Linked DNA regions of Anolis sagrei. The protein of the gene in region 1 purifies or fractionates together with the protein of each later gene. This does not show direct contact. Links are inferred from orthologs where the notes say so. Each region holds a gene or a part of one and is shown in the gene's direction. Other genes may lie near its edges.

Region 1 (7,659 bases):
AGAACACTAGATATATACGGTACAGAAATAGTAAGGCCCTTTCCACTCAGCTGCATAAAATCCACATGGAACTGGATTATATTGCAGTATGGACTCAGATAAACCAGTTCAAAGCTGATATTGTGTATGCCTTGATATTCTGGGTTATACGGCTGTGTGGAAGGGCCCTCAGGGAGACAAATATATTTATTACTAGTTTCTAGTTTGGATACAACATGTGTGAGAGTTACGTGTACACAGTAGATACATACACACTTGGAGACTGACAGACAAATATAGAAAGCAGAGCAAAGACCTACAGATTGAGGCCTAAGTCCCTCAAGGTTCCCCAAGGAGCCACTCTGACCAGAGGGATTGTTCACATTATAAATATCTCAACGTCACCTTAGAACAAACACCAACATTTAGGAAACACTGTATGAACACCAAACACAAAGCAGCTGCGGAAACATAACAGGTAGTGCATGGGATGCAGACCCAAAATTGATAAGAACATGAGCCCTGGCATTGTCTTACTCAACTCTCGAGTATGCCTGCCCCGTCTGGGATAAGTGTGTCCATACAAAGCAGGTGAATATAGCAGTGAATATAGCATGTAGATCAGTGGTTCTCAAAGACAGAAGTGGAAAGAGATCTTGAATGGATTTATGTATGGGAGGCCTTGATGAGTTGTTCTGAACCTGTGGGTTCCCAGGTGTTTTGGCCTACAACTCCCAGAAATCCCAGCCAATTTACCAGCTGTTAGGATTTTTGGGAGTTGAAGGCCAAAAACATCTGGGGACCCACAGGTTGAGAACCACTGATGTAGAATAATCACAGGATGTCTCAAATCTACACCTGTTGAAAGACTTTATAAGCTAGCTGGCATTGCCCCCCACCCCCAAAGCCCCAGAATGGAAGTTGCTGCCAATTGCAAAAGAAATAACAAAATATGGTTATCAGCCTTTTCCCAGTAGGGTCAAATCAAGTGCCACAACATCCCACTTAAAGGCTATGCAAATCCATAAAGAGGACACTACAGCTTTTCAAAAGTCGAAAGACTTTGTTATCTGGTGGAAATTTAGATCATCCCAGGCCTAGCCTAAGACAGTTTGCTGCTTGGGACAGACACAACAGCAAATGTCTTCTCCTCAAGGCCAAGGAAAAGTTTCACAAGAAACACCACTCCTCTAAATGTTTCCCCAGCAACAGCAAGAGTATCCTTGTGGGCAGCCAAACCAGGAAATCCCAGGATCTTCGTCCAAGGGCAAAATAAGAACAGGCAACTTGGAAGTCCCTGGACAGACTCAGAAGTGGCGTGGACAGATCAAAAGATAACCTGGCAAAATGGAACTACAGTATTCCCTCGCTACTTTGCGGTTCGCTTTTAGCAGACTCGCTGTTTTGTGGGTTTTTGAAAATATTAATATTAAATATTAACTTCCAGTGGAGGCCAGGGACCCCTGAAGTGCGTTGGCCTGAGGCACAGCGGGAAAGGCCTGCCTCCCTGGCCTGCTGCTGCCTGCATGGCTCTGGTGGCTCTGCAGAGACCGGGGAGGCAGGTAGGTGCACTTGGTCAATGTAACTGGCTCCTTTGGGATAGATTGAAACAAAGAATCATGACGTGGAGGAAAAAGGAAGGCCCAGAAACAGATTTTGATCAAATGTTAAAGTGGAAACTAGAAAAGGAGAAAAGCCTGATGGGGTTCATATACAAGAGATTAGTTGGAATTCGATATAATTTGAAACAAGAAATAGAAATATGGAAAGAGGATTTAAATAACAATGATTCAGACATTGAACACTGGATCAATTCATCTATATTCCTTCACTCAGCCCTCCCTATGGTCTCACATCCATAGGTGACTATGGGGAATGCCATTGCTTTAACTATGCGGATCTTGGTTGCCAGTGTGATGTCTCTACTCTTCACTATTTTATCAAGATTGGCCATTGCTCTCCTCACAAGAAGTAAGCGTCTCCTGATTTCCTGGCTGCAGTCTGCATCTGCAGTAATCTTTGCACCTAGAAATACAAAGTCTGCCACTGCCTCCACGTTTTCTCCCTCTATTTTCCAGTTGTCAATCATTCTCGTTGCCATAATCTTGATTTTTTTGATGTTTAACTGCAACTCAGCTTTTATGCTTTCTTCTTTCACCTTGATTAGAAGGTTCCTCAGCGCCTCCTTGCTTTTGGCCATCAAAGTGGTATCATCTGCATATATAAGGTTAATGTTTCTTCCAGCAATTTTCACCCCAGCCTTGCATTCGTCAAGCCCCGCACATTGCATGATGTGTTCTGCATACAAGTTGAATAGGTTGGGGGTTTTTTTGTCGTGTCAGGAACGACCTGAGAAACTGCAAGTCGCTTCTGGTGTGAGAGAATTGGCTGTCTGCAAGGACGTTGCCCAGGGGACGCCTGGATGATTTGATGTTTTTATCATCCTTTTGGGAGGCTTCTCTCATGTCCCCGCATGAGGGGCTGGAGCTGATAGAGGGAGCTCATCCGCCTCTCCCTCTTCGCCTCTTCGAACCGCCTCTTCGAACCTGCGACCTGTTGGTCTTTAGTCCTGCCGGCACAGGGGTTTAACCCACTTCGCCACCGGGGGCTCCACATCAATTTGTAATAATTTTCTTTAACATGTATCGATAAATTCTTTAAATATCTTTGATCCCATAATTGTACCCAATCCACTTCGTTTATTCTAATCCCTAGGTCTTCCTCCCATATCTCTCTTAATGTTGCATCCTTTATTTTTTCCCCCCCTTAATATCAATTATTATCTTATACAATTTGCTGGTTATTCCTTTCAACTTGTGGTATCTTCCCGTAGCTCTTCCGTTTTGTATCATTTGTTCAACTTGCGTGAATTTGCCACCTTCCCCATTATTTTTTATCCAATTCTTGAACCATTGCTCTAACTGTAAGCAATGGAACCATGAGAGTTTAATATCTCTAAATTCTCTCAATATAGTTTCTTTCCTCATGTTTATTTGTCAGATTTATTTGTCGTGTCAGGGCAACCAGTCAATTATATTACATTTCTAACAGAACAAAGCAAACAAACAGACAAAATACAAAATTTGTGAGTTTGGTAGTTGATTAAATGTCCTTTGACCAGTATCTGACCACTTGGAGTGCTTCCGGTGTTGCTGCAAGAAGGTCCTCCATTGTGCATGTGGCAGGGCTCAGGTTGCATTGCAGCAGGTGGTCAGTGGTTTGCTCCTCTCCACACTCGCATGTCGAGGATTCCACTTTGTAGCCCCATCTCTGAAGGTTGGCTCTGCATCTTGTGGTGCCAGAGCGCATTCTGTTCAGCGCCTTCCAAGTCGCCTAGTCCTCTGTGTGCCCAGAGGGGAGTCTCTCATTTGGTATCAGCCATTGGTTGAATCAGCCAATAGTGAAAGGACCAAGGCAGAGACATCTCCAGCTCATCCCCTGTTTGGGTATCAGCCAGCACGTCAATGACTTAAATCAAGACATAGTTTTCTTAGATCTACAGAGACACTCGCTGGAACACCCCAGAATGCGAGAGTCCAAAAGTGGCAGGCCCAAACCCAGCACCTCAATTCATGGGTGATACCAGATGAGAGACTCCCCCCTGGGCACTCAGAAGACTGGGCGACTTGGAAGGCGCTGAACAGACTGCGCTCTGGCACCATGAGATGCAGAGCCAATCTTAAGAAATGGGGCTACAGGGTGGAATCCTCAGCATGCAAGTGTGGAGAAGAGCAAACCACTGACCACCTGCTGCAATGCACCCTGAGCCCTGCCACATGCACAATGGAGGACCTTCTTGCAGCAACACCGGAAGCACTCCAAGTGGCCAGATACTGGTCAAAGGACATTTAATCAACTACCAAATTTGCAAAATCTGTGTTTTTTTCCCCCCTTTTTCTTTTTAATCTGTGTGTTTGTTTTGCTCTGTTAGAATTGTAATACAATGGTTGCCGATGACACGATAAAAAAAAAGCCATTGGTTGAGGTTCTGGGTTTGAGCCTGCCACTTTTGGACTCTTGCTTGCTGAGGTGTTCCAGCGAGTGTCTCTGTAGATCTTAGAAAACTATTTCTAGATATAACATATTAGATAAAAAATATTACATATAACATATTAGCTAAAAAATTAAGAGAGAAGAATATAGATTTTTAAAAGCGGCCTTTTCCTTAATTGGGAGAGGGGGGAAAGGAAAGAGGCTGAGACTGTGAGGAATTGTGGGAATTGGAGTCCAAAACACCTGAAGGCCCCAAATTTGCCCAAGAATCCTTGTGGAGCAGAACAAATCACTCCGCATCTGAATGCTTGCCCTCAAACCAGAGGGAGGCTGTACAGAAGGGAGCCCGAAGAACCTGCCTCTCAGCCTATCAACGCCAGGGATTGCTTTCACCCAATCGGAAACAGCCCTCCGCTATTAGCCAATCATAAACCAGAGAAGCGTCTCTCCTCGAATCCACTTCCCAGGCCCCTTTCGGCATGCTAATCCGCCGCTTGCCTTCAATGGCATCGGGTGGCAGGAGGGAATGTAGAAAAGAGGCGGGGCCTCGCCTGAGTGACAAGCGCCGCTGGCCACTCGGCGAGGGGCTTCCGTCTCCGCTCAGCCACTGAGCGTGGAGTCACGTGCAGCAGCCTTTGAGAGCGGCGCCGTTGCCAGGGCCCTCCCCCGTCGCTAAGGAGGAAGGGGGGCGTGGAAACGGAAGTGGAGTTCGCCGGGGTCAGAGGCCGGCTGTGTTGATGTTGACACTAGGCCGGAGCTGTGGAGTAGTAGGCGCCGCCGCCGCCGGGACGCCGCGCAAGGCCCGAAAAGCTGTCGTGAGGGAAGAACGAGGCGGCGGCGGTGGCGGCGAGAGTTGGCGGAAGCAAGTCCGGCAGGGACAGCGGCGCCTCTTGGGGGCTGACGGGGCCCGCTTCCTCTTTTGACCCGCCTGGCGGGGGGCGCGATGCGGTTGTGATTGGGCCTGCCATCCGGGCATTCCTTCCCTTCCTCAAAGAAGTGGTTCCTCAGCGGGCCCTCCATCCGGGTCCCGGGCCTCTCCATCCGGGTCCCCGCTCTCCATCCCAGCGGAGGGGAGAGGGCCTCTTTCGCCCCTCTCCTCCGGAATCCCCAAACTCCCTTCCATACGGGTACTTCCTTCCTTCCTTCCTTCCTCACCCCCTCCTCCTGCATCCCCAGTGCCTTTGGGTTAACTGTCACTGCTTAGCCTCTCCATCCGGGGACTTGTGCCCCTCACGCGCGGCTCGGGACTCCTCTGCTTGCCCCCTCCCTCGGTTGCCATGACGATCCTGCCCAAGAAGAAGGCCTGCCCGGCCGCCGGCGACGGAGACAGGGACCAGCCGGGCTCCCGAGGGGGCGGCCAGGGCGGTCCTGGGGGACCCGGCGGCGTCGGGGGCCCGGACCCGCGGGGCTGCTCCGGCGCGGACTCCCACCCTCGAGGCCCCAGCGGCGTAGGCGTCGGCGGCGGAGGCGTCGGCGGGCCCGGGGAGCGCGGCGGAGCTAGGCCGCGAGCCTCGCCGCCACCCCCGCCGCCTCGTTGGGGGCTGCCCCCCGCCGCTGGCTCGCCGCCGCCGCCCAACCCCGGCGTGGGGCCCTGTGGTGGAGGCGGCGGGGACGGCTCGGGCCTGTTGGATCCCGGCGTGGCCGAGTCGCGAGGCGGTGGAGGCGGGGGCTGCTGCTCGGGGCCTGGACACAGCAAGAGGCGGCGGCGCGGCGGGCCCGCAGGAGGCCTTGGGGGACCCTCGGGGCCTGGAGGAGGCGGCGGCGGAGGCAACAGCCCCGAGCAGGACGAGGCCGGCGCTGGCTACAACAGCGAGGACGAGTACGAAACGGCCGCCGCTCGCATCGAAAGCATGGACCCGGCCACCGTGGAGCAGGTACCGCCTCAGGAGATGGGGCTCAGTGCCTGCAAAGAGAAGGAGTGGGGCCTTGCGCCCTCCCTGCCCTGTCAAATGAGATTAGTGGCCCCACCAGGCTAAGGGCCCTTCCACACTGCCATATCAAATCCACATTGAACTATTTATTTATTTATTTTCGCTCACTTCTACCCCACCTTTCTCAGCCCCCTAGGGGGGACTCATTGTGGCTTACAACCGGCACAATTCGATGCCAACAATTCAACAGATAAAATACATAGCAACAATAACCACAATAGTTAAAACATTCAATTAATACAATAACAATTATATATTTATCTTACACAGTGGTTCTCAACCTTCCCAATGCCGCGACCCCTTAATTCCTCATGTTGTGGTGACCCCCAGTCATAACCCTAACATTATGAATTGCCATGTAAATAATGATCTGCAGGATGTACTTTCATTCACAGGAGCAAATTTGGCACAAATACCTGGTATGCCCAAATTTGAACCCTGGTGGGGTTGGCGGGGGGATTGATTTTGTCATTTGGGAGATGTAGTTGCTGGGATTTACAGTTAACCTGCGAACAAAGAGCATTCTGAACCTCACCAACAATGGAATTGAACCAAAGTTGGCACACAGAACTCCCATGACAAACAGAAAATACTGGAAGTGTTTGGTGGCCATTGACCTTGAGTTTGGGAGTTGTAGTTCGCCTACATGTAGAGAGCACTGTGGGCTCAAACAGTGATGGATCTGGACCAGACTTGGCACAGATACTCAATATGCCCAAATGTGAAAACTGATGGGGTTTGGGGAAAATAGACTTTGAAATTTGGGAGCTGTGCTTGCTGGGATTTATAATTGACCTACAATCAAGGAGTGTTCTGAACCCCACCAATGATAGAATTGGGCCAAAGTTCTCACACAGAACCCCCATGACTAACAGAAAATACTGTGTTTTTTGATGGTCTTTGGCGACCCCTCTGACACACCTTCGCGATCCCCAGGTTGAGAAACACTGATCTTACATGTAATATTACTAATAATATTACAGTATAATTGATATAGTGCAATATAGCAATATTTAAAACTTATATTGTACTATGTTAATAATATACTGTATGTATATATACCTTGTAAGCCGCTCTGAGTCCCCTTCGGGGTGAGAAGGGCAGCATATAAATGTCGTAAATAAAATAAATAAATAAACAACTAAAAAGCCAATCTAGTGGCCAACGTATCCGTAAGTCCATTCAGCATTACCATAGTCCTTTCCAAATTCTGGTCGTCATTACCTTGTCAGTCTGCCAGATTACCCAAAGGCCTGGTCCCATATCCATGTTTTCAGCTTCCTTCTAAAGGAGAGGAGGGATGTTCATGACCTAATTTCGCCAGGGAGTGAGTTCCACAGGCGAGGGGCCACCACTGAGAAGGCCCTGTCCCTCGTCCCTACCAGCCTCACTTGTGATAGAGGCGAGGCCGAGAGTAGGGCCTCCCCCAAAGATCTTAGACTCCGAGGTGGGACATAGAAGGAGATATGTTTGGACAGGTAAACTGGGCCGGAGCCCTCTAGGGGGATTATATGGCAGTGTGGACTCATAATCCCTGATCAGAGCAGATTTTGTGGGACTTTCTGCTTTAATATTCCGGGTTATATGTCTGTGTGGAAGGACCCTCAGACCCCTTCCACGCTGCCATATAAAATCCACGTTGAACTAGATTATATGGCGGTGTGCACTCATAATCCTGTTCAGAGCGGATTTTGTGGGATTTTCTGCTTTAACCCCTTCCACATTGCCACATAAAATCCACATAATAATAATAATA
Region 2 (7,450 bases), on another chromosome or scaffold:
AAATGTCTTTACACTAGCAATTCATTTCTAAGATTATACAAACGAACACATTATTTTCTTTTTAATCATTGCAATTACTTGATGTCAAACTTTCCTTTAATTTATTTTGATTAATGTTAAGGGTGAAAGCTGTGCTTTTATTCAATATTCTAGCATGAAGATTATTTCTTGATAAAGTTTTGCACTATTTTTGCACAATTAAATATTATGTGCAGCTTAAAGGCACCAGATCTCTCATGATATTGAAAGCTAAGCATGGACAACCCAATCTCTACTTGGACGGGAGACTGCCAATAAATACTAGGTGGTGTAGGTGAAAGGGGAAGAAACTGACAAAATCACCTCTGAATATTTGTTGCCAAAGAAAACCCTAAGGAATTAATGGGCTCATCATAAGTCAATAAGTGACTTGTCAGCACACACATAAAACAATTTTGTGCTTTGTTGGCCCAACTGACAGAAGACTAGAAGAGATTACAGGAGTGCTTTGTTTCTTCTGCACCACTATTAATCAGATAAAGAACTTTTTTTGACAAGCATAGCCTTGTGGACTTCTCTTATTGTAGCTAGCTAAAGAAATGTATTCACCAGAGAACTCAACTATAAGATCAAAGACTTCCTCTGAAACTGTTCTTGACTTCTTATCTCTGAACCCAAAACTACAGAAAACTTTATTGCAATTAAATGCAGAACCTGTATAAATTCAGCAGTAATAGAATCTCACCATACTTTGCCAACCTGCTTCCACAGGAGCTTGCCTGTTTGGATTTATTGGAGGCCTTACTCTTGATGGCCTGTTTGCTAAACTATGGTATATGTTTACTACAGGTGAGGTAATATTTCTATGATAGCACTTCTTCTGAGTTCCTTCAAAATTTCTTGGCTATTTTCCAAACTCTTGCAAGTGTTAATCTATTGGTATTACATAAGATCACATCTGACTATAATATGGTATTAATAAATTATTATTACTTGGTTACTTAATTTGTATTTCTATATATAGTAAAGTGTCATAAGCTACTGCTTGGAGCACATGGAATGTAAATACCTTAAACAAAAAGCAAGCATTTAAAAGTAGTAAGAAACTGGAGTCCCTACTGATTCCACATCTTTATATCTTCTGTACCTAAAATGCCAGGCATTTGAGTTTCACATTTATTAATTTTCAATGGTACTTAACTTTCCCAAAACTTGTAATACATTTGAGCATGTAATTAATGTTTCTGTTCACACTGATGAGCAAAATAGTCTTATAATGATCATGATGAATCAGTGTTCCCTTTTCTGTAGTTGGCTCACTGTATCCATGGATTCTCTAGTCATGTGTTCACCACCCATGTCTTGAATATTTTAAAAAAGACATTACAAAAAGCAAATCTTACATTTTGCCATAAAAGGGCCACCATTTTACTATGCCGTTGTATTTAAAGGGACTTGAGAACCCATGGATTTTGGGTCCCTTCAAATGTTGTTTGTGTCCTGGAACCAAACCCCAGGGATATCAAGGGCCCACTTTTATAATAAAGCTAAGTTAGGATTTCCTTAGTAGTTAACCTCAGATGTTAAGAAAAAGTCTGGAGTTTTGCAATTGCCTAAGCAACCTGCTCAGAGACCTTTGGACATCATATGAGCCAAAGGAGCATGGCACAGCCAATCCTTTTTTCCTCCAGATCTGGAAGTGTTTTCAAGGAGGCAGCTACTGTGTTATCAGCATCTGAGCAGATGTGCTCCTCAACTTCTTTTGATGCTGGAAGACCTTGATAGGCACATTCCTTGGCCATGTGCACATAGAAACACTTTGTGCTTGAACATACCAGGACACTACTTCCATGCCTTTCCCAGTAGGCGCATGCTGTCCACCCTGCTTTCTCTACAGAAAGTTGTGGAGTTGGAGTGGTACCTGTGGGCATTCTGACCACTGTACAGAGAGATCAAAATGAGCAGAACCTGAGACTCATATTTTTTTTAGAAATCTAGCAAGATTCACTGACAATTCTAAATCCTTTCATGCGCCTTTCTTACTTCTTTGTGTGTGTGTGTGTGTAGTTTTTCACTTTCAAGGGAGTCCTGTGCCCCAAATCCCAAAGCTGGCTGTACTTAACACTTAACAGTTAGGAGGAAAGGGAGCCTCTTAGCCCAATTATTCCATACAAAGAATAAACAATAAACATCATTTTAACCCTTCCCAGGTAATTTAATTAGGAACTGGAAAAGAACTATGAGGAATCCCCAAAAGCAGCACAGTGTTGCCAACCATATTCTAAGGAGCTTTCTGGCATGAGGACAGACAGCTATGTCCTTTCCCTTCTTTTCTAGGTTCTGCTGCAGAGTAGGATTTGGCATTCTTCATTTGCTCGTGCATTAAAACACTCTTGAGTGCATCTGCACTGTCACGTTAGCGTAGTATGAAATCACTTTAACTACCAAGGCTCAATGCTATGAAGTCCTGGGAATTACAGTTTGGTGAGGCGGAGAAAGCAGCAAACCTTGCAATAACGATAACTCCTGGGATTCTACAGCATGGCAGTTTAAATAGTACCAAACTGCATTAATGTTACAGTGTAGATGCACTCTTAGTCCCTGTTCCAAAAGAATGGCAGGCCTGGCTTTGGTTGGTAAAATGATAGCACTTTATTTTTGTTTTGCGGCCTTCTTATTTTGATTATTGTTTTCGACAAGGTCAAATGTAAGATACTACACTTTGGCAGAAAAAATGGAATGCAAAGATACTGGATGGGTGATGCCTGGCTCAACAACAGTCAAGGTGAAAAAGATCTTGGAGTCTTCCTGGACAACAAGTTGAACATGAGCCAACAGTGTGATGCAGCAGCTAAAAACACCAAATGGATTTTAGGCTGCATCAAAAGGAGTATAGTGTCTAGATCAGTGATTCTCAATATGTGGGTCCCCAGGTGTTTTGGCCTCCCAGAAATCCTAGTCAGTTTACTATCTGTTAGGATTTCTGGGAGTTGAAGACCAAAACATCTGGGGACCCACAGGTTGAGAACCATTGGTCTAGATTGAGGGAAGTCATGGTACCTTCTATTCTGCTTTGGATAGACTTCACCTGGAATACTGTATCCAATTCTGGGCACCACCATTCAAAAGAGATATTGACAAGCTGGAAGGTGTCCAGAGGAGGCGACTAAAATGATAAAAGTTCTGGAGACCTATGAGGAGTGTCTTAAAGAACTGGGTATGTTCAGCCTGCAGAAGAAAAGGTTGAGAGGAGACAATAGCCATGTGTAAATATGTGAAAGGGTGTCATAAGAGGGTGCAGGCCTGTTTTCTGCTGCCCTTGAAAGTGGAACTAGGGTTCAAATTACAGAAAATGAGATTCCACCTGAACATTAGGCAGAACTTCCTTGCTGTATATGCTGTTCAACAGTGGAACTCTCTGCCTCAGAATGAGGTGGGAACTCCTTCCTTGGAAACCTTTAAACAGAGACTGGATGACCATCTGTCAGGGATATTTTGTGCTTTTCCTGTATGGAAGGGGGTTGTACTAGATGGCCCACATGGTCTCTTCCTACTCTATGATTCTGTTGTGAAAATGAGTGCGATATCCTTGGCTGTTGTGTTTTGTATTACACTGTGGGTTTTTTCTTCTTTTTGCAAGTTATCACAACTATAGCACAGCTTTTGTACAATAGTGAATTATTCTTCCTCCTTCCCTTTGTGTCTGTAGGCCTCTACAATGATATTTTAGATCGTGCACGTCAAAGGCATGTCATTTTATGCGGCCAGTAGGGCTTGCAATGCAACACAAGTTACATTTGTGCCTTACATGGGCAAACTTCGGCCCTCCAGGTGTTTTGGACTCCAACTCCCACAATTCCTAACAGCCTAGCGGCTGTTAGGAATTGTGGGAGTTGAAGTCCAAAACACCTGGAGGGCCGAAGTTTGCTCATGCGTGAGCTAGAGGCGTCCTTGCTGTGTTTCGTGGTGTTCCTGCAAAACGACATATAGGTTGGATGGTGGTATTAAGGACCACGATGGGACGAGGAAGAGGAGGAGGCGGCGGGACGGAATGGCCTCAGGCGCCGGAGCCCGCTTCCCTCGCGGCCGCGTGGAGCGGAGCCTCCTCTCCCCTCCCTCCTTCCTTCCCTCGCCCAGCCGCGAAGACAAACCCGCCGGGCTCTTACCTCAGGACCTCCGCGGGCTCCGTCCGAGGCCAAGGCCGCCTCCGCCTCCCCGCTGCGCCTCCCTCCCTCTGGCAGGTCCTGAGGAGCCTCTCCGCCGCGCGCCGCCATACTGTGACGGCAGGAGCCAAAACAAGCCGGCCCGCACCGGAAGCCCTCCTCCGCCGCCACATTCCCCGCCTCCTCTTCTTCCCTCTAGCCAATCACGGGGCGCGCTTTCTCTTGCCACGTGACGCCAAAGGACCAACCGGCTCACACCTCAGCCATTGAGAACTACTCCCCCCAGCATCCCTTGCGGCAGAAGCACATGGGGACACCTCTCTCTCTCTCTGTATGTACCTCCCATGCCCTTTCACTTGAGAGACACCCTATGGGGAAGGTTGCAGCCTATTAAGGGCTGTACGCTTTTCTCGGCGCGCGGAGGCGGCAGGCAAATGCTTCGCGCTGCAAGGGGCCCGCTGCTCTTAAGCCGCTCTGTCAGGAAAGTACAGGAGTTCAAGCCAGGGTGAGTCTCTTTCCGGAGAGGTTTCTCATCGTAGCTTGTATTCTCTCTGCTTTCGATGAGATCTCTGCATATTCACCTCTACTTTTTGGTGTGTTGTTCCAGACAAGAGCTTTATCTAAAGCCGTGGTTCCCAACCTTTTTTTGACCAGGGACCACTCTCCAACATTAGTACCTTACTTTATATACTTAGGCGATCCCTCGTTGTCCGAGTAGGATAATCCTCCAGGGTGGGTCCGTAGACGACTGTGGAGCCCTATTCTTGACCTGCATCTTCTCCCACAGTGAGGGCATCGGTTTCCAGGTGGGAAGCGGTCCTGGTCGGGGTTGGTTTGACGCACCTTCCTCTTGGCACATTTCTGTCTTTCGCCATCCATTTGTGCCTCTTCAAATTCTTCAGCACTACTGGTCACAGCTGACCTCCAGGTGGAGCGCTCAAGGGCCAGGGCTTTCCAGTTCTCTGTGTCTGTGCCAGTTTTTAAGGTTGGCTTTGAGCCCATCTTTAAATCTCTTTTTCTGTCCTCCAACATTCCGTTTTCTGTTCTTGAGTTCGGAGTAGAGCAACTGCTTTAGGAGACGGTGGTTGGGCATTCGGACATGTTGATTGCAGAGGACCATCACTTCAGTGCTGGTGGTCTTTGCTTCTTCCAGCATGCTGATGTTTTCCACTTGTCTTCCCAAGAGATTTGCAGGATTTTCCAGAGGCAGCACTGATGGAATCATTCCCAGAGTTGCATGTGACGTCTGTAGACAGTCCACATTTCACAGGCATATAGCAGGGTTGGGAGGACAATAGCTTTATAAACAAGCACCTTGGTATCCCTACGGATGTCCCGGTCCTCAAACACTCTCTGCTTCGTTCGGAAAAAAGCTGCACTCACAGAGCTCAGGCGGTGTTGTATTTCAGTGTCAATGTTGACTTTTTTGGAGAGGTGGCTGCCAAGGTAGCAGAAATGATCAACATTTCCTAATGTTACACCATTAAGCTGTATTTCTGGCATTGGAGAAGGATTGGCTGGTGACTGCTGGAAAACTTCGGTTTTCTCGATGTTCAATGACAGGCCGAGCTTCTCGTATGCTTCTGCGAAGGTGTTTAGAGTGGTTTGTAGGTAGACTTCTGGATGTGCACAGACAATGTCATCAGCATATTGAAGTTCTATAACAGATGTTGTTGTAACCTTAGTTTTGGCTTTCAGTCTGCTGAGGTTAAATAGCTTACCATCTGTCTGATATGTGATTTCAACACCGGTGGGAAGCTTCCTGTCAACAAGATGAAGTATCATAGCGATGAAGATGGAAAATAAAGTTGGGGCAATAACACATCCCTGTTTGACATCTGATTCCACCTTAAATGGGCCACTCTGGGAGCCATTGTTGTCCAAAATCGTTGTCATCATGGAGGAGCCGCAGGATGTTCACAAATTTGTTAGGGCACTCGATTTTTGGAGGATGGTCCAGACATTAGTACCAAAAGGGTTACGAATCAGTTTTTGGTCAACTTTTCGTTTGGTTATTTAGGGTGCTGATTCAGAAAATTGCATTGGATAGACCACATCAGCTCTAGTTTCTGATACAGAGCATATGCCATCCAGTAGTGGCCATCTGCTTGCCCACAGAATTATAGAATCATAGTTGGAAGAGACCTTGTGGGCCACCCTGTCCAACCCCCCGCCAAGAAGCAGGAAAATTACATTCAAAGTACTTTGAATTGCATTTCAAAGAAAACAGTACTTAATAAGCCTTGGCACTATAAGAGGGTTTCGTGAGACCAGTCTCGCTCTCATTGCAACAGTATAGTAATGGTGAGGCCACGGACCATATTTTAATTCTTGTGGACCACTGGTGGTCTATGGACTACAGATTGGGAACCATTGCCTTAACAGATGCATCTACACTGTCAACTTAATGCACTTTTACACCATTTGAACTGCCATGGCTCAGTCTCTGGAATCCTGAGATTTGTAGTTTGGTGAAGTACCACCACTCTTTGGCAGGGAAAGCTAAAGATCTTGTGGAACTACAACTCCTAGGATTCAAGAGCACCGAGTCATGGCATTGGGGTCAAAATGTATTCATTTGACATCCCAAATCCCCATTCCTCTGTTGTCATCCCGATATGTATTAAGCAATACATTCTATTGGCTTCTAGTACTCGTACATTCAGGGCAAAGAACGCAAGTTGTTTTTAAATTTCTTGTTAAGTAAAGCACCTCTTAGATCTTTCAGACATATTTGTCATTGCCTTCTAAAAAAAGTTCATGCCCAGTTTTATACGGATGTTTGTGGCACAACTCCACTACATTTGCTGAATTGTCTGCCTTAAATTATGAAGCATTTCCCCATTGTACAAAATACCGGAAATTGAGCACATAATGCATACTGTTACCATTGAAAGTAAATATATTGTAATTATAATGTGTGCCTTCAAGTCACTTGTTGAATTCCAGTGACCCCCCCCCCCCCCCCCGGCTTTTCTAACCTCGGACGGGACTCAAGTCATTTCAACCTGCTTCTAGAAACAAATTCATCTGGTGGGAGTTAACTGAACCATACATTTGACAGGATCCATACTACAAAAGGACCTAAGCTAAGAGAACTGGGACAACTATGTCCAACATTATTCATGATTCAGGGTACAGAACTATTTGGTTCTGTCTTACCTGCCAATAAATAAGGTTGAGTTGGGTTTACACCAATTATTAAACCAAATAAGCTGTTTTACTCCTGGCTGAAGGTGCTGAAAAGCATCCCTTTGCTTTTATGGTACGGGAAAAGTACCAGATGTTCCAAGTGCCTTTGAACTAAT
Region 3 (7,606 bases), about 28 Mb from region 1:
CTAGATTTTAATGAGCTTGTTATGAAAACTAGACTGGCCACAGGTCAACTGGAATTAATAGTGTTTTGTCTGTTTCGGTGCAGAATCTCACTCAACAAAAGAATTGAGGCTGGATAGGAGTTGTAGATACTGGGATGTATAGTTCACCTGCAATCTAAGAGCACTCTGAACTCCACTAACAATGGACCTGGAACTAACTGCCATACAATTAAATTCAAAGCAGATAATCTGGATTTGGAAACTGGATTAAATGGCAGTGTAGAAGGACCTCAGATCCAATTAGGCCTGAGTCACACTGTTAATACAATAACATCTTCTATCTTCTATCTATACACATAATAAAAGTGAAAATATGTATATGTGTTCGGCTGGGGTGTCCACTTACACAGACAAGTCCTGACTCCACAAACAGCTATAGCTCCCACTACTCAGGAGACACCAAAAGCCGTCCCTTCAATTACATTGCAGTTTATAGTGAGTGCCGTGAATATATACAAGAGCCATGCCAATGTCCTCCACAAACACCATACTGCCTACCGCCCAAGTGAAGGCTTTCATATGGGGACAATTTCATTCTAGAGTTTACGTGTTTCTTCCTCCAGAGACATCCCAGTGTTTCTTACTCTCTCCATTGGTATGGAATTTGCATGACCCTGCCCACTGCATCTCCCTTAACTATTTCCTATTATTTTCTATGGCACACATCAAACAGAGGAATTGATCAGCAACTGAACATACTAGAGAGGTCTGGGGAGAATTCACCATGAGTTATTAGTTGTAGGTACTGGGATGTATAGTTCACCTGCAATCTAAGAGCACTCTGAACTCCACTACAGACGGACCTGGAACTAACTTGACACACAGAACCCTCACAACAAACAAAAAATACTGGAGGTCTTTGGAGGGATTTATAGGAGTTGGATCTGGACCAGACTTGGCATGCGTACCCTATATTCCCAGATTTGAATACTGGTGGGTTTTGAGGGGAATTGGCCTAGCCATTTTGGAGTTGGTAGGTACCGGGATTTATAGTTCACCTGCAATCAGTTAGCACTCTGAACTCCACCAAAGATGGAATTGGACAAAACTTGACACACAGCCCCCATTTCCAGCAAAAAAATAAATAAAAATACTGGAGGTCTTTGGGAAAAATTAACATTGATTTGAGGGAGTTGTAGTTCACCTATATTCAGAGAGCACAGTGAACCCAAACACTGATCGATCTGGACCAAACTTGGCACATACCCAATATGCCGAAATTTGATTATTGGAGAGGTGGGGAGAGCGCGGGGGGGGGGGGGGGGGAAACTGACCTTCCTTTCTAGGAGATGTCATTCACCCACAACCAGAGAAATAGTGACCTCCACCGATAATGGACCTGAACTTGACACACAGAACCCCCATGACTAACTCAACCTACTGGAGGGGTTTGAGGGTACAGACTCACCATAGTGGGAGGTGTAGTTTATGCTGCAGCCAGAGAGCACACTGAACCCCACCGATGATGCATCTAGAGTAAACTTGCCCAACATAACAAACGTTAAGTACTGATGGAGATTTTCGGGGTTAACCTGGCATGCTGTGAGTTGTAGTTCACCCACAACCTTATGCACTTTGTATAACTTAAAAATTGACTTTTTCAAATAACCCAGGCAATGCCAGGTACCCAAGCTAGTTTATGGGAATATAATATTAGTATATTACTGCCTTAGGAATATATTATGTATTGAATACAATTATTAAATAAAATTATTGAATATGCTGAATGGTTTTTAATTGTGAATTTTAATACTGTTTATATTTAATTCCGTTTTAATATTTGAATATTTGTATATTTGAAATTGTGTACTGTACTAATGCTTTTATATCAAGCCACTTTGAGTCCCCTTTGGGAGAGATAAAGCTGGGTAGAAACAAATATAATATTAATAATACTATACTATGATAATGGATGAGTTGGAATATAAATGCACTGAGTAGTGTGTATGGAAGAAAATGCCAAATTAGAAAATACTCTTAGGTATTGTGGCCACATTATGAGGAGACAGGAAAGCTTAGAGAAGACAATGATGCTGGGGAAAATGGAAGGAAAAAAGAAGAGGGGCCGACCAAGGGCAAGATGGATGGATGGCATCCTTGAAGTGACTGGCTTGACTCTGAAGGAACTGGGGGTGGTGACGGCTGACAGGGAGCTCTGGCGTGGGATGGTCCATGAGGTCATGAAGAGTTGGAAATGACTGAACGAATGAACAACATTGTAGGAAATATTGCTGGTTGGCCTAATAAAGGCAAGAGCCTCCAAAATGAATTTTGGCGTTTAACGGCAGACATTTGAGGCTCATTCTACATAGTTGTATAAAATACACATATAGCTGGAATGTGTCCAGAGGAGGGTGACTAAATGATCAAGGGTCTGGAGAACAAGCAGGCTTAAAGGAGCAGCTTAAAGAGCTGGGCATGTTTAGTCTGAAGAAGAGAAGGCTGAGAGGAGACATGATAGCCATGTATAAATACGTGAGCGGAGGTCATAGGAAGGAGGGAGCAAGCTTGTTTTCTGCTACCATGGAGACTAGGTCGCGGAACAATGGCTTCAAACTACAAGAAAGGAGATTCCATCTGAAATTTAGGAAGAACTTCTTGACTGTGAGAGCCGTTCAGCAGTGGAACTCTCTGTGTGGTGGAGGCTCCTTCTTTGGAGGCTTTTTAAACAGAGGCTGGATGGCCATCTGTCGTGGGTGCTTTGAATGCAGTTTTCCTGCTTCTTGGCAGGGGGTTGGACTGGATGGCCCATGAGGTCTCTTCCAACTCTATGATTGTGTATGACAGTGTGTCAGATATTTTAGTTCAAAGCAGATATTGTAGATCATCTGAGTTGATATTCTGGATTGTATGGACCTTAGGCTCCTTGCATACAGCTATATAAAATCCCACATTGTCTGCTTTGATCTGGGTGGGTTATATGGCAGTGTGGACTCAGATAACCCAGTTCAAAGGAGTTATTGTGGGATTTTGATATTCTGGGGGCCCTTCCACACAGCCATATAACCCAGAATATCAAGGTAGAAAATCCCACAATATCTGCTTTAGTGGGTTATCTGGAGTCCACACTGCCACATATCCCAGTGCAAAGCAGATAATGTGGGATTTTATTCTGCTGGGGAAGAGGCCTGAGTCCACACTGCCCTATAACCTAGTTCAATGTGGATTTTATATAGTTGTGTGGCAGGGGCCATAATACTGGTATTGTACTATGCTAATAATATAATATATATATTGTGTATATATATCTATATATATTGCAACAAGATTATGGCAACAAGAATGATTGACAACTGGAAAATAGAGGGAGGAAATGTGGAGGCCGTGACAGATTACTGCAGACGCAGACTGTGGCCAGGAAATCAGAAGACACTTACTTCTTGGGAGGAGAGCAATGTCCAATCTTGATAAAATAGTAAAGAGTAGAGACATCACACTGGCAACAAAGATCCGCCTAGTCAAAGCCATGGTATTCCCTGTAGTCACCTACGGATGTGAGAGCTGGACCTTCGGGAAGGCTGAGCGAAGGATGATCGATGCTTTTGAACTGTGGTGTTGGAGGAAAGTTCTGAGAGTGCCTTGGACTGTGAGAAGATCCAACCAGTCCATCCTCCAGGAAATAAAGCCCGACTGCTCATTGGAGAGAAGGATACTAGAGACAAAGTTGAAGTATTTTGGCTACATCATGAGGAGACAGCAAAGCCTAGAGAAGACAATTATGCTGGGGAAAGTGGAAGGCAAAAGGAAGAGGGGCCGACCAAGGGCAAGATGGATGGATGGCATCCTTGAAGTGACTGGACTGACCTTGAAGGAGCTGGGGGTGGTGACGGCCGACAGGGACCTCTGGCGTGGGCTGGTCCATGAGGTCACGAAGAGTCGGAGACGACTGAACGAATGAACAACAACAACAACAATATATAGCAAGCTGCTCTTAGTCCCCTTCGGGGCGAGAAGGGCGGCATATACATATCTATATAAATAAAAATGTAATGTTCGTTTGTGGGATTAACATAACTCAAAAATCACTGGATGAATTGACACCAAATTTGGACACAATATACTTATCAGGCCAACAAGTGACCAATACTCATAAAAAACACTGAAAAACACAGAAGAGACATAAAACAGGGAAAAAAATTAAAAAATTATAATGCAGGTGCAAAATCACATATACACATATATACAGAGTGGGCCACAGCAACGCGTGGCAGGGAACGGCTGGTCGTAAATAAATAAATATGTTGTATGGCTGTATGGAAGAGCCCTTAGATTCGCCTGAAAGGTGAGTAAAACTACCCTTGTTAATAAGACCACGCCACCTGCAATGAAGCCAGACTTCTTTGTGAGGCGCGTTGCATTCTGGACGTCGAAGTCTTTCTGACAGGGCCAAAGAAAGGTATTCACGGGGGAGAGGAGGCATGCCGGGATTTGTAGTCCCCGGCGGGCGACGTCACGGCCAGGGAGGCTTATGATTGGGGGTATGCCACGGTTTGCGAGAAAGCTGGCCAATAGCAGCGCCTGGAGAGGAGGGCGGGGCTTTCTTGAAAGGGAAAGGAAACTCCCCGGATGCTGCCTAGCCTAGCCTGAGACCGGCTCGGAACTTTCCAGAAAAAGTCAGCGCGAGAAGGAGAAGGAAGAAGGAGAGGAGGCTCGAGCCGGCTGTTAGAAGAGAGAGAGAGAGATAGAGAAAGAGAAGACAGGGCTGCTTTCATTGTAAGCCTGCGTTTGGGTCGAAAGCGCGAGTGAGTGAGGGACAAAGGAAAAGCCGGGTGGGGTGGGGGTGGGGTTGGGGTTGGGGGTGGGGGAGGGGTCTCCTCAGCTACCTTCCCCCCCCCTCCTCTAGTTCTCCACAAAGAGAGGGCGCGCGGGAGAGAGAGGGAGGGAGGGAGGGAGGGGGGAGCGCGCGACGGTTAGGTCAGCTGACTCCGGGTTCTGAGAGAAGGCAGAGAAGGGGATTTGGCGGGAGGGAGGGAAGGAGAAGGGAAGGGAAGTCGGGCCTTCGTGGGTGAGGGAAGGGGGGGGGGAGAGAAAGAAAGCGGAGTCGTGGAGTGGGAGACAGCGCCCTCCACACAAGGGACCCCTGCAAATGGGACTGCAGTGGGTGCCCCTTCTGTGTCACGTGATGGAGCGAGGGAGGCCCTTTTACATAACAGTCTGTGGGGAAGAAGACCCCCCCCCCCTTGTAAAGTTGGGAGCCTTCCACACACAGCTGAATAAAATCCCACGTTTTCTGCTTTGAATTGGAATATATGGTAGTGTGGACTCAGGGTACTTTCCACGCAGCCATATTGCAGGACCCAGGATATCAAGGTAGGAAACCTCACAATGTCTGCTTTGAACTGGAATATATGGCAGTGTGGACTCAGGGCCCTTCCACACAGCCGTATTGCAGGACCCAGGATATCAAGGCAGGAAACCCCACAAGATCTGCTTTGAACTGGTATTCTGGATCATATGGCTGTGTGGAAGGGCCCTTATTCTAATTGCTATTTGACACAAGAAAAGAGTTAGGGGGTGTTTTTTTCCACGGAGGCTCCAGTGGCTCTATTATCAGGTGGGGCTGGAAAGAGAAGCAATGAGGGGCAAACTTGGTTTGCCTGAAGCACCGCTTTCCCAACATTTCTTTAGTCACAGCATCATTTCGCAACACAGTTGTTCTGTTTTTAATAGCTAACTAGAGGTAAACCAATCCCGTTGAAGAGAATACAGGCACCTTCTCAACATGATAAGAGTACAAATCAATAAACCTACAAGGAGAATCATCATGTATGGCAGGCATGGGCAATCTTTGGCCCTCCAGGTGTTCTGTATTTCAACTCCCAAATTCCTAGCAGTTTATGGCTGTTCGAAATGGTGGTGGTTGAAGTCTGAAACACCTGGAGGGCCAAAGGTTTCCCATGCCTGATGTATGTGACAACAACAGCAAGTGCTGGTAGATGTAGACCTTTAAAGCCCTAGACCAGTGGTTCTCAACCTGTGGGTCCTCAGGTGTTTTGGCCCACAACTCACAGAAATCCCAGCTAGTTTACCAACTGTTAGGATTTCTGGGAGTTGTAGGCCAAAACACCTGGGAACCCACAGATTAAGAACCACAGCTCTAAACAGTTCAGGTCCAGGCTATTTGGCCAGCTGCATACCCTTGTATGAATCTGCCCCAGCCTTGAGATCTTCAAGAGAGGCCCATCTCTCGGGGCCCTTCCACATGGCTATATAACCCAGACTATCAAGGCACAATACCCCACAATATGTGCTTTGAATTGGGTTATCTGAGTCCACGCTGCCATATATTCCAGTTGAGAACAGGGAATATATGTGGGATTTTATTCAGCTGTGTGGAAGGGGCCTCAGTCCCACCTCCATCTGAAGCTCAGAGAGAGTGGGCCTTCCTTCTCCGTAGGTGGGTGCTTCAATACTCTGGATCTCCCTTCTTCCTAGGGAAGCCAGAATGGTCCCCTCCCTGCTGTCCTTCTGGTGGCAGGCTAAAACCTTCTGAATCAGGCAGGTTTTTAAAGAAGGTTTTTAAGATTTAGTTATGGGGTGCTGTGGTTTTAAACTTTGAATATGTTTTTATGGATTTTAATGTATTTTTTTAGTGCTACCTGTGTTTTTGTTTTAATGTGTATATATTTGTACATTTTAAATTGTGTACTAATACTACTGCTCAAGCCACTTTGAATCCCCTTTGTGGAGATAAAGCGGGCTATAATAATAATAAAATAATAACAATACAAATGAATAAACCTGTAAGGATTATCATCATGTATGTGATTACAACAGCAAGGATAGTATTGGCAAAAAAGTGGAAAATAACGGGAGTACCTTCTAATCTATGATTGACAACTGAAATTAAGAGAAGCCATGGAAATGACAAATTTACTAGAACAATGAAGGGGGGGGGGGTCTCTAAGCAAGGTGCTGAAAAGTGGGAGAATGTAGATAAATACTTGAAGGAATAAGTCATCTCTGTGAATAAAAATAAGTATTGGCTATTTAAGATTTAAGATTCTGCTTTTTCCTAAATGGGATGCAAGAAGACTTAGGAAAAATTTCAACCTCGAAAGGAAGGAAGTATTGTTTTTGTAGTTATAGTTTATTTGGATTATGTTATGATTGATTGTTTTGTGTGTTGTGTTTTCTTTGTATTTTATGGTGTAGTATGCTTTTGTTTCTTTCTGAAAATCAATTAAAATGTTAAAAAAAAGGAGATAAAGACACACACATATATTGTAATAAAGGAAAGTATGGGGGACACAACATATCACATGAAAAGCTTCTGTTTGTATATTTTTAAAAATGTATATATGATTTGTAAGATGACATACATTTCCAAGATTTACTGTATGTCATTTCTCATTATGTTTGCGTTACACATCTACACATGACAGCCGACATACTAAACAGTTTGGAAAGCTCTGGTGTAGATAATCCAGAGTAATTGGTGCGCAGAGTGAGGCAGCGCAAGAAGATACAAGTTTGGTCTCACCAGAGGTCTCTTTATGGGCACAGTCTTTGAGGAAATAAGGAAGTGGGCTGAACTCATGACATCATAAATTTTGCATTCCTTTTC
Region 4 (7,934 bases), about 120 Mb from region 1:
TATAATGCAATTAAACTGCACTATGGCAGGATACATTGGGCCTAGGCTTGTCAGGTCACAATTATCCCAGACTCCAAGATTTCAGGTCCAAAATGGATACCAAAGTGGATACCAAATGCTGGCATCCCTTACAGAAAACAACTCAAATGACTACTGCAGAAAGCATGAGAAACTGTGAAATGGCAGGAAGCCATGCCTACTCATCAATGTAGTATTCAATATGCGGCGAAATCAAGCTTTGCTTTGGGTATGTGTGTATGCATATGTGTGTGTGTATATATATATATATTTCAATGCTTGATTGGTTGATTCTGTTGAAGCAGAACCTGTGGATACTGAGGGCTTGCTGTATTCAAAAATATAAAGGAATACTCAACCTTCCAACATGGAGAACAGAAAGAAAATCCCAGAATAAGCTTTCATTGGTTGCAGTCTACTTCATTCAGAAAGGTTTGTAATAGGTATTTTTCTCAGTCACCAAGCTATTAACAAGATTCTATTATATCTTTAAATACAAGTATAAGTTTATAATTATGCTGGGGAAATAATTTATGCTGGGGAAAGTGGAAGGCAAAAGTGGAAGGCAAAAGGAAGAGGGGCCGACCAAGGGCAAGATGGATGGATGGCATCCTTGAAGTGACTGGACTGACCTTGAGGGAGCTGGGGGTGGTAACGGCCGACAGGGAGCTCTGGCGTGGGCTGGTCCATGAGGTCACGAAGAGTCGGAGACGACTGAACGAGTGAACAACAACAACAAGTTTATAATTGTTACTGTATATATATATATTTAAAGAAATGTAAGCACCTTACAGCCCACAAGGGCTCCTTGGACTGTTATCAAGCCATGGTAACCCCCTCCCCACCCCAATGCTTTATAGTTCACCAAGGACCAATATATGATTTTTCCTTCTTTATTAAAAAAGGTCGTTTCCAGAGGTCCAGAATAGCACAAGTTCAGGACTTCAGAAGATTGAGAACAGATCCAGCAGCAGCCGTACTCCTATTAAATATATCATATCTAACCCTTTAATAAATTGTATTTATTTTATTATTGTTGTGTAACTTGTATCTTTTAGCCATATACTGTATCTCTTTCCTGTATAAAATGTATAAATTACCTTGTAGAAATGTATCAAAATGCAGCCCGGAGACAGACACCCTCTGAGATAATCCCCTGAGAATAGGAAGGTTGGGCAAATCCCTCTGGCTATTTCCCAAGCCAGATAATCATCAGGCTCATTATGTACAGAAAGGTGATTTCCCCTGCCAGCAACATAAGCCAGATGTTGGTGTAATTCACCTGAGGTTGAGAGCCTGGTGCTCCGTCATGGGAACAGGAGCTTAAAGTGTGAACTTTCATTAACTCCATTGTTGACAGCCAAGCCCTTGCTTGCCTAGGACTGGCACCTTTGTCCTCCGAGTCTCACACCTTTATTTCTGGAGCTCCATATCTTCGTTTAACATGGAACTGAACAATTGAGCTACTCAAAAATTCATTAACATATAATTGGTATTATCTTCTCCAAGATCGCTCCCTCTGCAGCTGATTGGTTCTTCACTCTGACCAATCTCCGGCTGCCATCCTCCCCGACAAGCAAATCCCTGCCTGGAAGCTGTGATGTCAGCAGAGCTTTCGATCAATCCCAGCAGGGAAAAGAGCCATCCTCTTTTCTGGCCAATTAGAGGAGGTGGCGGGAGGTTTGAATGGCTGTCAGAATTGTATAAGATGTCTTACATTCCCCGCATGTTTATGCTTGTACATTTTAAAGCAAATTACTTGTACCTGCATCCCTTCTGGCTGAATTGTAATAAATCTCTGTGGCTTATCTTCAACCTGATGAGTTGTTTTCTCTGTCCTGGCTTTTTTGGTTTAGCATACCCTCATCGGGCACAAATCCTCCTATCTGTGGTCCTGGCTAAATCACTTCAAGACAATGAACAAATGAAAACAATGAACAAAACAAGATGATTTACATGCAATGTATTCAGGATATATTCATAGTGTACTTTTCAATTTGATGGGTGGAGTTTTTATGTCTTAATTTATAACTTTTAATATAGAAACAGATCAACAAGGCCATGTCTACTAGAAGTATGGCACAAGATTGTTGTACTGCTTGCAGCATTGAGTCTCGTGAACTAGTTTTTCTGATCAGCTATGTCAGTGGGCAGCTTGGTCTGAATAACCTCAGTCCTTTGTTATGGGAAACAACCATCCACTTCCATGGAGAAGGCCTAAAGCAACATACAGGTTCAACATCCATTATCTGAAAATCTGAAATACAATACTCCAAAATTAAAAAATTGTTCACATGGATGTGAGAAACTGACATCTTTGCTTTCTAATAGTTCAATGTGCATACACTTTTGTTTGATTCACAAAATTATTAGATATTATGTACCAAGAGGCTATGTGTACAGTGTATATATAATCAATTTTATATTTTGATTGGTTCCCACCTCCAAGACATATCATGATGTGTGTGTGTGCGTGCGCGTGTGTGTTCCATTATAAATATGAATCCAAAATACTTTTGGTCATAAGGATTTTGGATAAGGGATACCCAATTTGTATTGGCTGCTCCAGAAATATGCAGCATCACATGGGATGTGCTGTTTATAGGATCCAGCTATGCTGACATTTTTTATTATTTGCTAACTTGTCAACTATATCTAGTCACTGAATTTTAACACCAGATGAATAATAATAATAATAATAATAATAATAATAATGAATTTTATTTATATCCCACCCCTCCCCACAAGGACTCGGGGCGGCTCACAACGGAATCAAGTCACAATACATACATAAGCAGAAACTAAAAAGACAAGACACAATATATAACCAATACTCATAAACATAATGAGAAGACAGGAAAGCTTGGAGAAGATGATGCTGGGGGAAAAGGAAGGAAAAAGGAAGAGGGGCCAACCAAGGACAAGATGGATGGATGGTATCCTTGAAGTGACTGGTTTGACCTTGAAGGAGCTGGGGGTGATGATGGGCTGTCAGGGAGCTCTGGTGTGGGCTGGTCCATGAGGTCATAAAGAGTCAGAAGCGACTGAATGAATAAACAACAACCTCATAAATGAAAATTTTTAAAACAATATCACAAGAAATACACAGTTAAAAAATTGTATTGGGTTTAAAAATGTATTGCACTGCGGAGGCAAAAACTAGTTAAAACCAATAGGTATTGACAAGCCTGAAGACGAGAAGGCTGAAAGGAGACCATGTGTAAGTATGTGAGGGGAAGTCTTAGGGAGGAGGGAGCAAGCTTGTTTTCCGCTGCCCTGGAGACTAGGACGCAGAACAATGGTTTCAAATGACAGGAAAGGCAATTCCACCTGAACATGAGGAAGAACTTTCTGACTGTGAGAGCTATTCAGCATGGTTTGGTAACTGCACAGTGGCAGACACGAAGGCACTCTAAAGGATCACCACTTCTGCACAGAGAATCATTAATTGCTCTTTCCCCTGTTTGGAAGACCTTTATAAGTCCTGTTGCTTTAAGAAAGTTCAGAACATTCTTGGGGATCCATTTCACCTGTCATTTTTTTTTTAATTATTGCCATCTTGCAGATGGTACAGGGTGACAAAGACAAGGAGAAGCAGACTGAGAGATAGCTTTTTTCCTAGAGCTGTGGCTATGTTGAACTCAATAGTTTCACACTGATGTGGCATTGGGGGCAGTGTGGTGGTGGTTGGGGTGTGGAGGGATTGGTGTATTGTTTTGTGGTGTATGATGGGGAAGGCTTCAAACTACAGGGAAAGATATTCCACCTAAACATTAGGAAGAACTTCCAGAGAGCTGTTCAGCAGTGGAACTCTCTGCCCCAGAGTGTGTTGGAGGCTTTTATGCAGAGGCTGGATGGCCATCTGTCTAGGTTGATTTGAATGTGATTTTCCTGCTTCTTGACAGAAAGGGGTTGAACTGGATGGCCCACGAGCATTTTTTGGCTCTAAGCTTGGTAAAAGTTGTTCATTTGTTCAGTCATTTCCGACTCTTCGTGACTTCATGGACCAGCCCACGCCAGAGCTCCCTGTCGGTCGTCACCACTCCCAGTTCCTTCAAGGTCAATCCAGTCACTTCAAGGATTGCATCCATCCATCTTGCCCTTGGTCGGCCCCTCTTCCTTTTTCCTTCCATTTTCCCCAGCATAATTGTCTTCTCTAAGCTTTCCTTTCTTCCCATGATGTGGTCAAAGTACTTCATCTTGGCCTCTACTATCCTTCCCTGCAATGAGAAATCGGGCTTTATTTCCTGAAGTATGGACTGGTTGGATCTTCTCGCTGTCCAAGGCACTCTCAGAACTTTCCTCCAACACCACAGCTCAAAAGCATCGATCTTCCTTTGCTCAGCATTCCTTGTGACCCAGCTCTCATATCCATAGTTGACTATGGGGAATACCATTGCTTTAACTATGCGGATCTTCGTTGCCAGTGTGATGTCTCTACTCCTCACTATTTTATCAAGATTAGTCATTGCTCTCCTCCCAAGAAGTAAGTGTCTCCTGATTTTCTGTCTGCAGTCTGCGTCTGCAGTCATCTTTGCACCTAGAAATACAAAGTCTGTCACGGCCTCCACGTTTTCTCCTTCTATTTCCCAGTTGTCAATCATTCTTGTTACCATAATCTTGGTTTTTTGATGCAACCCAGCTTTTGCCCTTTCTTCTTTCACCTTGATTAGAAGATAAAAGTACAACGCCCTAATTCTTGTGCTGAGCCACCCTCAAAAGGCCCAATGCTAAATGATCTCCTCGCGCGGTACCTTCCTCCCTCAGTGCCAGGGTGACACCGGAGATCTTTCTACGCCGCACCAAGTCAACTTCTGTAGGCGGGGCTTGAACTGAGTGACAGCGGTCTCGTCCAATGGCCAGGGAGAATCCTCTGCCAGCAGCCAATGATTCGGAGGGGGCGGGGATACGGAACTCGAGCGCCGGGAGCCTTGGTAACGCGCGGCACATTTGCTTGTGAGCAGCGCGTGGGGCGGAGGCGAAGAGAGAGGCGTCGAGGATGAAGATCGAGGAGGTGAAGAGCACCTCGAAGACGCAGCGCATCGCCGCCCACAGCCATGTCAAGGGCCTGGGCCTGGACGAGGGCGGCGCGGCCAAGGCAGCGGCGGCGGGGCTGGTCGGGCAGGAGAACGCCAGGGAGGTGAGAAGGCCTCAGGCCAAGAGGGAGGCCCCTTTGAAGGGACTGAACAGGCCTGGGCCAACTTGGGCCCTCCAGGAGTTTTGGACTTCAATTCCCACCATTCCTCACAGCCTCAGGCCCTTTCCTTTTCCCCCTCAGCCGCTTAAGCTGAGGAATGGTGGGAATTGAAGTCCAAAACTCCTGGAGGGCCCAAGTTGGCCCAGGCCTGGTCCAGACCCACAAATTCAAGACTCCTCATAACCTGAGTGAAGGAAGATGCTTTTGAACTGTAGTGTTGGAGAAAAATTATTGGACTGGAAGAAGATCGAATCAGTCCATACTCCAGGAAATAATGCCTGACTGCTTACTGAAAGGAAGAATATTACAGGCAAAATTGAAGTACTTTGGCTACGTAATGAGAGGACAGGAAAGCTTGGAGAAGATAATGATGCTGGGGAAAAAGGAAAAGAGGTCAACCATGGGCAAGATGGATGGATGGCATCCATCTGGGCCAGAGTGAAGAGATAGGGGGCCAGGGGACAGTTCCACCTTGTCTCCTGTGCTATTCTAATAATATAACATAATGTAATATAATATATTGTATATACGTATAATATTTATAATGTTATAATGTAATGCAATCTAGTACTATTTTTTTTTGTCGTGTCAGGAGCGACTTGAGAAACTGCAAGTTGCTTCTGGTGTGAGAGAATTGGCCGTCTGCAAGGAAGTTGCCCAGGGAATGCCCAGATGAATTGATGTTTTTATCATCCTTGTGGGAGGCTTCTCTCATGCCCCCGCATGAGGAGCTGGAGGTGATAGAGGGAGCTCATCCGCCTCTCCCCGGATTCAAACCTATGACCTATCGATCTTCAGTCCTGCCAGCACAGGGGCTTAACCCACTGCGCCACCGGGGGCTCCTTATAATACTAATAATAATATGATATTATAATTATATATTTATATTACATGTAATATTACTATTACAATATAGTGGTATAGTACAATATAGTAATATTTAATACTGATATTGTACTTTGCTAATAATATAATATATCGTATGTATATATATACACCTTGTAAGCCGCTCTGAGTCCTCTTCAGGGTGAGAAGGGTGGCATATAAATGTCGTAAATAAATAAATCCTTGAAGTAACTGGTTTGACCTTGAAGGACTTGGGGGTTGCCACAGCCGACAGGAAGCTCTGGTGTGGGCTGGTCCATGAGCTCATGAAGAGTTGGAAATGACTGAACGAATAAACAACAACAACAAAATCAGCCACTGATTGAGGTTCCAGATTTTTACCTGCCACTTTTGGATTCTCACTTGCCGAAGTGTTCCTACGCCCATGATGGCGAACCTATGACACGTGTGTCAGCACAGACACGCATAGCCATTTTCGATGATATGCGGCAGCATACAGAGAAGACATTTAATCCTCGGCTCCTACACCAGCATTTTTCTATGATGCCGAGATATATGGCATTATAGAAAAAGCAGGTAACTTAAATAATTAGTTTTTGGTTTATTAAATACAGTTATATATTACAATAATATATTTTTGTTATTAAACTATAAATATCATGAAATTATGGGTTATTCTCGAAGTGACACCCCACTCGAGTTATGCTCGGTTTTTTGGCGAGTATTGACACACCAAACTCGAAAGGTTGCCCATCACTGTCCTACGCATATCTCTGTAGGTCTTAGGAGGCTATTTCTTTATTTAAGATATTGGCATGCTGGCTGGTATCTGTACAGAGGATGGGCCGAAGATGTCAATGCCTTGGTCCTTTCATTACTGGTTGCTACTTCCTGAAGGTTATCAGGTGGTACAATACTGGCTAAACAGTACAATGTTTCCAGTAGTAAAGGGCGTAGACATCTTGTGATAATGTGGGTGGTAATACATCCAGGCATTCCCTGGGCAACGTCTTTACAGATGGCTGATTCTCTCACACCAGAAGTGATTTGCAGTATACAATAAATCAAGTAACTTGTGTAGTTACATACTCATATCCCATTCTAGGCACATTTTCATATATGTATGCTCCATATAACAAGTCTAGCTTCTTATAGAAGTTTTAACTTATTTCACTGTTGAATATCCCTGTGGGCAGAAAAATTGGGCTATTCCAACTCGATAGCCCCCTACGAGGATCTTCCTCCAGGGGCAAACCAAGAATGGGCAACTTGGAAGTCCCTGAAGAGACTCAGAAGTGGTGTTGAGAGATCAAAAGACAATCTGGCAAAATGGCAGTACCTAGAACAATCCTCTACCTTTTGCTGTTGTGGAGCAGAACAAACAACTCCGCATCTGTATGCTTGCCCACAATGCCCTGCCACATGCACAGAGGAAGAACTGTTTAAAGCTACAGACAATACAGTTGCTGTTGCCTGTTTTTGGTCTAAATTTTTAGCTGCTTGTGTTCCCTTTATTTTATCAGTTTTATACTCATTTATGCAATGCTTTTGACACAAAATAAATAAACTTATTTCACCATTGTGGCTCAGTTGTATACATTATATTAGTTAAGCATTGCTATAACCACCTAGCCAGAGAGGAGTTATGCCAGTTAACCAGCATTGCAGAGTGTTGCAAATAGCCTTAGAAGCCGGGATAAATTGTCTATTTCTATAGACAGTTTTTCAACTGGAGAGGTATACGTTTTTATTACTTTCGCTGTTATTTGCTTATATTGAGTAAGGAGTTGTGCATTATTGTATATTTGGGAAATAATAAAAGCTGGTTTATATAATAATAATTATCAAATTTATAATGGAATTACTAATCATG

What was found.
Region 2: the proteins of OTUD5 (region 1) and CTPS2 purify together in Homo sapiens (affinity purification with mass spectrometry; 3 studies listed by BioGRID and IntAct, with this or other methods). This does not show direct contact. The link is inferred for Anolis sagrei from reciprocal best matches to the Homo sapiens genes OTUD5 and CTPS2.
Region 3: the proteins of OTUD5 (region 1) and DNAJA1 purify together in Homo sapiens (affinity purification with mass spectrometry, with the first as the bait; 3 studies listed by BioGRID). This does not show direct contact. The link is inferred for Anolis sagrei from reciprocal best matches to the Homo sapiens genes OTUD5 and DNAJA1.
Region 4: the proteins of OTUD5 (region 1) and RUVBL1 purify together in Homo sapiens (affinity purification with mass spectrometry, with the first as the bait; 3 studies listed by BioGRID). This does not show direct contact. The link is inferred for Anolis sagrei from reciprocal best matches to the Homo sapiens genes OTUD5 and RUVBL1.

What each region holds. Positions count from the first base shown.
Region 1 is NC_090022.1:178,620,045-178,627,703, reverse strand, and holds the start of OTUD5 (OTU domain-containing protein 5), read left to right. Parts: upstream 1-4,656; 5' UTR 4,657-5,249; coding exon 5,250-5,846; intron 5,847-7,659. UniProt on the Homo sapiens protein: Deubiquitinating enzyme that functions as a negative regulator of the innate immune system. Has peptidase activity towards 'Lys-48'- and 'Lys-63'-linked polyubiquitin chains. Can also cleave 'Lys-11'-linked ubiquitin chains (in vitro).
Region 2 is NC_090023.1:90,167,764-90,175,213, forward strand, and holds the start of CTPS2 (CTP synthase 2), read left to right. Parts: upstream 1-4,433; 5' UTR 4,434-4,486; coding exon 4,487-4,647; intron 4,648-7,450. Other genes in the region: TXLNG (gamma-taxilin), read right to left, coding at 4,146-4,253. UniProt on the Homo sapiens protein: Catalyzes the ATP-dependent amination of UTP to CTP with either L-glutamine or ammonia as the source of nitrogen. Constitutes the rate-limiting enzyme in the synthesis of cytosine nucleotides.
Region 3 is NC_090022.1:150,548,874-150,556,479, reverse strand, and holds the start of DNAJA1 (dnaJ homolog subfamily A member 1), read left to right. Parts: upstream 1-4,586; 5' UTR 4,587-4,781; intron 4,782-7,606.
Region 4 is NC_090022.1:55,532,646-55,540,579, reverse strand, and holds the start of RUVBL1 (ruvB-like 1), read left to right. Parts: upstream 1-4,923; 5' UTR 4,924-5,017; coding exon 5,018-5,158; intron 5,159-7,934. UniProt on the Homo sapiens protein: Possesses single-stranded DNA-stimulated ATPase and ATP-dependent DNA helicase (3' to 5') activity; hexamerization is thought to be critical for ATP hydrolysis and adjacent subunits in the ring-like structure contribute to the ATPase activity.